Kluyveromyces lactis: one gene and its partner. The protein of the gene in region 2 interacts with the protein of the main gene of each other region in a pairwise test. Links are inferred from orthologs where the notes say so. Each region holds a gene or a part of one and is shown on either strand. Other genes may lie near its edges.

Region 1 (4,013 bases), on a different chromosome or scaffold from region 2:
GTCTCGAATGACAGCTGTGGATGGCTGTTCAAAAAGTTGTCTAATTGTTTAACAAATGGAGACTCCGAGGTCAGTTTCGTTTTTCTCACTTTTGGTCCGGAGTCTGATGAAGTAATGTTGACTTTATGAAAGAGACGGTCTCCGGATTTATGTATTCTCTGAACCCATTTTGATACATCTTTAACTGTGTCAAAACTCAATCTGGATTCCACTAGAGTAGATTCACTTGTCACTGGGTGTCTCACAAATGCTGGTAATACCGGCTTCCCATTGAAAAGTTTTGGATTCCTTTCAGTGATGCACAAAGCTGTGCGTTCGGTAGCATTAGGATATTGGTAGAATGGATGTACAATCTTGTTAGCTGCTGGAACCACGTACTCAGGTAGATGTCCCCATTCTTCATCTGCTACTTTGAATTTGTTTTTTGGAACCAGTAGCGTCTTGCCCGGTTGCAACTTATTAGCAGCTCTAGAAAGTATACTCATATCACGGGAAAAAAGATGAGAGAGTGAAATGTAGATAGTAGATGCAGTGGTTAACGTCGTAGCCACAGATAATATATAGTTTTCCCCAGATGTGATTGGTGAACGGTCCCCTATAGGTCTAACGCTGTAGGTTGAGTTTATCTACCATGCTGAAATAAAGCTTTTTTTTTCAGTTTCGAAGGTGCTTGAGAAAATACAAGTTCAACACTGTTCAAATCATCGTGGAATTACAATTAAGAGACGCAGCCCAGTAAAGAGCACCCTGTTCAAAGAATATGATACTCTTTTACTACACCGAAGACAGCATTAGTTTATATATATATATATATAAACTAATTTTCTCTTGATGGTGTTATTCCTTCTCTATGTTAAGGCAATGATGAGAATTTGTCACTGCTGATAAATGGATATCGTTCCAGTATAGTATTGAATAATAGACTAATCGTTTATTATGAGAGTTCCTCTGTAACGCTTGAAAGTGAAGCAAGAGAGTTAGGTGTGATATACATTCAGGACTTCTTGTCAGCCATCATCTTATGCCAGATGTATCAACAATATCAGTTTTTTTTTTCATTGGCAATATTGAATCGATGATGAGCTAAGAAAATTTTCAGCAGAAACGTAAATAGTAGCTATTTCCAGAGATGAGATGCGATGAGCTATGGAAAATTACAAGCTTGGTTTTGTCAAAGGTCTTTTCAGCTTTCTTGAGTTGAGATTATTGCTATTATTGCCAACCACTTGCTGTAAGGAGCTAGCAGTGAGGATCTACAGCTTCCTTATTTGTTGACCCACTCGAGTTTGATTCAACTATAGACCTATCACTCAGATGGGAAAGAAGAGTAAAGCGGTTCAAGACCGGCAGAATGGGAAGTCCATTGGAAAGAAGAAATCCAATGCAAACCCGTTAAAACGTCACGCTGGGAAGAAGACCGTAGTTACTTTTGATGACCATCAAGATGGAGATACTGGGGATTCGGATTCCGAAGCCTTGGATCATGTGTCAAATAAAGAGTTAAAGACAAGGGCACTGAGGTTATTGAAAGGGCGTGAGAGTTTACCAGTATTCCAGAATAAGGAAAAGATCGTGTCTCACATTAAAGCTAATCCAGTTACCATATTGATTGGTGAAACAGGTTCTGGTAAATCTACACAAATTCCCCAATTTTTGATGGATGAGATTTCTCCGATGCACAAAGGGGCCATAGCTGTTACTCAACCACGTAGAGTTGCAGCAATCAATCTTGCAACTCGGGTGGCGCAAGAGCACGGATGTAGAATTGGTCACGAAGTTGGTTATTCTGTTCGGTTTGATAATAAAAGTCACAAGACAAGAACTAAATTGAAATACTTGACAGATGGTATGTTAATCAGAGAATTAATGCTGGACAAGAACCTATCCAATTATAAATGCATAATCATAGATGAAGCACATGAGAGAACTATATTGACGGATTTGATTTTAGGTTTTTTGAAGGAACTTCAACTGACCAAAAGGAAAGATTTGAAAGTAATAGTAATGTCTGCCACATTACAAGCAGATCTATTCAGCAAATTCTTTTCGAACGCACCTATACTATTCGTTGAAGGCCGCAAATTCAAAGTAGACAGATATTATCTACCCAGACCTTGTGAAGATATAGTGGATAGTGTGGTACGCTGTTCAGTTCAGTTAAACAGTTCAGAAACTACAGGAGATATACTCTGTTTTTTACCGGGGCAAGAAGAGATTGATAAAGCAGTGGCCATTTTAAACAAAATCATTCCATATTTAGACGAATCTGTACCACGCATCACAGCATACCCACTTTATGCTGCATTACCACCAAAAGATCAAGCTAAAGTCTTCGAACCTTTAAAGGGATTCAAAAGAAAAATCGTATTGGCGACTAACATTGCGGAAACATCTGTTACCATTCCTGGAGTTAAATATGTGATAGACTGTGGATTAAGGAAGGTGAAAGTTTGGAGGCATCAGTTGGGGCTAGCTACGTTACTAACTGTTCCTGTTTCAAAGGCTAGTGTAGCACAAAGAGCCGGTCGTGCAGGCAGAGAAAGTTCAGGTAAATGTTTTAGATTATTTACAGAAGCTGATTACAAACAACTGCCGAAACAATCTGAGTCCGAAATTACTCGATGTGAAATTACGTCCCCTATCTTGATGTTGAAACAGTACGGCGTACAAGATATTGTAAACTGGTCGTGGCTAGAACATCCAGGGAAAGAAGCTATTATCTCGGGGCTAAAAGAATTATATGAACTTGGTGCTCTCAATGAACAGGGTCGTGTCACTGATAGAGGTCGCAAGATGGCGCTATTACCTTTAGCACCACATCTAAGTAACGTTTTGATTCATGCTCAAGAGACTCAAGTATTGCCATACGTCATAGATATAGTATCATGTCTGAGTGTTGAAAACTTGGTGTTAAACCCATTGCCTGAGGAACGAGATGAGGTCAACGAAAGAAGAAGGGCATTATGTACCCTAGGCAGTAAGCACGGTGACCTAATCATGCTAAAAGAGTTATTCGACATGTATCAATCATTACAAAGCAATTCGGAGAAACAAGAATGGTGTAAACAGTTATGTGTATCTCAGCGTGGATTCAAAAACGTGATTAAAGTCAGAGAACAGTTGACAGGGTATATGAAGAGACTGTACAATGAACCGGTAGAAATTAAAACAAAACAGGACACCCTACAACCAGAAGAAGACATTGCTACGAATCTGTTGCAGCCGCCAGACATTGCGGGTGTTTTAAAATGTTTCCTATATGGGTTTGTCAAGAACACTGCAATTGGAATGCCTGATAAATCTTTTAGAACAACGCCAACAGGGGAACCAATATCGATCCATCCGTCCTCGATGTTATTCATGAATAGTGGCGATGAAATAGGTCCATGCCCTGCGATATTATACATCGAACACGTATTCACAACAAAGGGATACGCGCGGTCTGTTTCTCGAATTGAATTGGCATGGCTGCAAGAAATTGCCTCAGGCGTTTTGAAGCAATCGACAAGATAATGAGAGAATTATTCGCGGGGTAAAGGAACTGGTCCATCAACCAAAATTTTCCCCGTACTTCTTCGCATTCGAAGTACAGTAAATGCAGGATCTAAATAGGGAACTGTATATATTAATTAATCACATCATAACGATCATATGCGAGCAAAGCACAGTTAATTGTAAATAGTGTAAAACGAAAAAAAAAAAAAAAAGAATGAAGGCACATTTGATTTTCACTGGTAATGGCCTGTGTGAGTTCTTTCTGTACGGCACTTTCAGTCAAATCTCTTCAAACAGCTCTCGAAACATAATCGAACAATAATGTGTGTCCAGATCGGAATACAGAATAAAGAAAACACCGAGGAAAGAAACGGTTTTTCCGTTTGTGGCCGTACTTCTCCAAGAATTTGTCGTGGTATTTTTTTTTTTATTTTTTTTTAGTTTTTTTTTAGTTTTTTTTTTATTTTTGCTCTTGGAATGGGATGGGAAGAGATAATTCAAGTTCTACGTAAACTCAG
Region 2 (4,221 bases):
CAGGAGGCCTAATAAACAAACCATGACAACAGAGAAAAAGTGAAGAAAAGAAAGAAATTTGAAAGCCCAAAACCTGAATCAAATGTAAACACATTCGGAGCAGTCATAGCTTTCAGTGCCGTTCCAAATCGTTACAAAGTCAGAAACAAACAAAGATAATGACCAACTTTCGAAACTGTAAATAAAGATCTAAACACATAGATCTTAGAGTTGCATATCTCCATTTTGTTGGAGTTTCAGCTCCTCGGCTTACCTCTTCCTTTCTTTCAAGAAGGCTACAAAAACGCTGATACTATGGAGATATAGGCGTCACAGAGTTACAAGCAATACGGCAACGTTTTAATTACTCAATCCACCCACAACTAGTCCTTGTCAAACGTGTTTGCGGGGGGTTAACAATCGGAGGCTAATGGTTGTGTCAGTGACTGATACTATTTTTACTCCCAATGTACATAAAAATTCCCCTCCTTTCTTTTTCAATCTCGAGTACATGTTGCGGATTTATTAGCACATGGAAAGCTCAACCACAGGGGCAAAGGGAAAAGAGTTGAGAGGAAAAGAGTGATTAATCGAATAATCAGTTTGATGGAGCCTTTGGAAAAAGGTCAAAGTTGTAGAGATCTGGAGAACGTAAACAAAGAGATAGGCACTTATATATACAAAACAGAGATTATCAACAGGTAAACAAAGGAAACGTAAACAAATACACCTCATAGCTGCATCAGCTGCATAGAGCATGTCAGCGGCTATCGAACAAGCCTAATCATGGATATGTTATGAACGTTATCGAGGTTGGTATCTGTTCAGTTGCCCTTTTTGAGATTGCAATCTGATAAGGATTCCAGTCGAGCCAATCGGAGAAAAGACGGACATTATGGATGTCTTTGTGTCTCTATTTTTGTGTCCCAAAACATAGAGTCATAGAGACATTGCAGCGTGGTCGGATTAAAGGGACAACAAGATCCCGCCCTATTTCTTTTCTTTTTTATTCGCTTGAGGGAGGAGAGGCGGATGGGACGGCGAGGTGGATTGAGGAACACTGATGTTGTGTTTTTAAGAAAATGACTAACATCCGGGTATCCTTTCACGTGACACAAAATACCATGACGTATTGCATTATTGCTGTTACCCGGCTTTCATATCGCTTTTTTTGTGGCACACCAAAAACCAGACACAAAAACGTGTCAAAGGAGCGTGTCTGGTTATTTGCTACCCGGATACTTTGATATCCAGAGTTTATAGATTCAGTTCTTTTTTTTTTTTCTTTGGATCCATTTTTTTTATCGAATTTTCGCTGTCAAAACCTCCCTCTCTAAGGCCAGATCAAAGAAAAAAAAAATAATAAAGAGAAATAAAATATTATACTAGAAAAGGTTTTACTAAACAGCAGGTTATTTCAGAAGAGTTCGAAAAGCTTGCGGACAGAAAAGGGCTAGGGTGCAGTTTTCTATCAGGAAGAACTAAGGTAATGACTGATTCTGTAAAACCACTAGTGGATCGTATCGTTTCGCAACCGTTGGAATTCAAGAAAGCTGTTCAAGAGGACTCATATAACGTCGGTGGTGAAGGCTCTTCGTATATTATGATCTCATCGAGCACCCAGAAACAGCAGCAGGAAGCCAAAGAAGGCGATGAGCATCAGTTAGAGCATGGACATCATCAGGGTATAGCTGCTACTGCAACTGCGTCCCGTAAGGAGAAGGTGGTCAAGCCCTCATCATTTGCAGAGGCGTTGAAGATGTATACCACTAAGAAAAGTGCGGCAAACGCTGCGGAATCTAAGCCAAACAGAAGTTCGCAATTACCAATTACCGCTTCTCATGTGACTCCATCGGGGAAATTATCTATCGGTTTGAGCAATGAGCTTTTACTCAGTGATGATGACTATCATGGATCCTCGACTGAAGATGAGGAGCATCCAATCGTGTCGTTGTTGGAAAACAAAGTGACCCCAGATTCAAACGAAATGTCGGGTTCTGGGTCTTCTTCCGCTTCTTCATCATCTGCTGCAACTTCTGCTCCTGTCTCGTCGTCTGATGACGACGATGAGGATGAGGATGAGGATGAAGTGTTTCATGAGGCTAATGAATTCGTTCAACCATCGCTGGCATTAGCTGCTCCTGCTGAGCAGCCTGGAAATGTCGATGAAGATGAAGATAGTGATGACAGTTCATTCCACGCTTCTTCTGCATCAGCAGAAGACGAGGATGACGAGAATGACGAGGATGTTTCTGCAGAGGAAAAGGAAGAACTCAAATTGGAGGCTACTGAACATGCTGCTGCTTCTTCTTGTCAGTTCAAAGGAGTGTCTTCATCTTCAACTGCGGCTGCTTCTGAGAGCAAACCTGAAGAAGAGGAAAATGGCGAAGAAGAGGAAGAGGATGAAGAATTGAAGCACAAATCTCCACAACCTCTATCACCTACCCCTCCTACCACTCTTCAGGACAAGTCAAGCTTCTACCAATTTAACGAGTCGATTAATGACCATGGTTCTAATAAACCACAGAGGATAGTTAAGAATTGGGGCTCTAAGTTGACCCAGCTGAAACCAAGGGGTTTACTCAACCATGGTGTCACATGTTACACAAACGCTGCTGTGCAAGCCATGGTTCATATTCCAGCAATTCAACACTATTTATTTCAATTACTACGTGGAAATTTCAAGGACACCGTTAAGTCTAACTGTGTTTCCATGTTATTAGCGGAAACTACGATGAGAATGTGGTCTTCTGACTCAACTAAAAATACGTACATTAATCCTGATAAATTAATCAATGCGTTGGAAGACATTAACTGTATGATGAGCGCTTGGAACCAAGAGGACTCTCACGAATATTTTATGTCTTTAATGTCACGTTTACAAGAGGACTCGGTTCCTAAGGGCCATAAAATGACAGAATCCATCATTTACGATGTATTCGGTGGATTACTACAACAATCAGTTAAATGCAGTAACTGTGGTGAGATTTCAACCACTGAACAACCTATATACGATCTTTCATTGCATTTAAAGGGTAGAAAGACAACTGATCAAGATCAAAACTCTGTTGGTCAAGATAATTCAATTGATAACTCTGTTGATCAACAGCAATCTTCAAAGAGAAGGTTTTCAATTGAAAAATCTATTCGGGATTTCTTCAATCCTGAGTTAATCAAAAGAGTGGACAACAAAGAAGGGTATACATGTGAGAAATGTAAGAAAGTTACTAACGCGCTAAAGTCAAACAAGATTATTCGTGCTCCAGAGACTCTAGTGGTTCATTTAAAAAAGTTCAGATTTAATGGCACATCTTCATCCAAAATGAAGCAGGCCGTATCTTATCCAATGTTTTTAGATCTAACGGAATACTGCCATGAATCAATCAGCTCCTTACCCGTAAGATACCAACTAATTAGTGTCGTTGTGCATGAAGGGCGATCTTTATCTAGCGGTCATTATATCGCACATTGTAAGCAACCAGATGGAAGTTGGGCCACATATGACGACGAATACATCAATAAAATTTCAGAAAAACAGCTTTTGAAAGAGCCAAACGCGTACTTCTTAGTGTACACTAGACTTACACCAAAATCGGTCCCACTTTCCTCTCAATCTTCCAATAAATCTACTGATCTAGGTATTCCGCAATTGCAAAGACCTCCATCTTCACACTCATCATCGCAGAACAACTCTAAACGTAAGAATAAGAAAAAAAACAAGAAGAGAAGGATTTCCCCATAAGTTTGAATAACCCTTTCCTTAAACTACCGGCTTACAATACACTTGCATCCTTGTTCATTCTTTCTTTGTAAACAGTCATACATGCATCTACCTCACACTGACTTCAGTTCATCTTTTTTCACTTCGGTTTCAGTTCATTTGGATCATCATATACATCTTCATCTATAGTAGTTGATATATTATTATAATTTTATCTTTTCATTATTCTATTTTATGTACACGAAATGAGGTCTACAAATGCTAATAAACCAGTTGGAATGAAACTCTCCATCGAGACCTTCACTATTTCACAAATCGATGCTTTGATTAGTGAAAAAAAAGTCAGTTTATGGAACTACCTTAATACCCATACTCTTAGCAACACCGATAATAGACTTTACGATTCCTTCAAGTTCCAGAGCAGCGTGTCTTCCATCGGTCTTCTTGATCTTGGCGATCTCATATATATGTTTTAACGACAGTTCACCACATACATTATCAGGGTTACTGATATTTGGTTG

What was found. The genes of interacting proteins can lie anywhere in the genome.
Region 1: the proteins of UBP10 (region 2) and DHR2 interact in a two-hybrid assay, tested with the Saccharomyces cerevisiae proteins (4 studies listed by BioGRID, with this or other methods). The link is inferred for Kluyveromyces lactis from reciprocal best matches to the Saccharomyces cerevisiae genes UBP10 and DHR2.

The regions. Positions count from the first base shown.
Region 1 is NC_006042.1:2,427,046-2,431,058, forward strand, and holds DHR2 (RNA helicase), read left to right. Parts: upstream 1-1,314; coding exon 1,315-3,513; downstream 3,514-4,013. Other genes in the region: AEP1 (Aep1p), read right to left, coding at 1-485. UniProt on the Saccharomyces cerevisiae protein: Probable ATP-binding RNA helicase. Required for 18S rRNA synthesis.
Region 2 is NC_006040.1:717,546-721,766, reverse strand, and holds UBP10 (ubiquitin-specific protease UBP10), read left to right. Parts: upstream 1-1,468; coding exon 1,469-3,721; downstream 3,722-4,221. Other genes in the region: MRPL19 (mitochondrial 54S ribosomal protein uL11m), read right to left, coding at 4,048-4,221. UniProt on the Saccharomyces cerevisiae protein: Deubiquitinating enzyme involved in telomere and HM loci silencing, which is the repression of chromatin structure which leads to a stop in the transcription of nearby genes.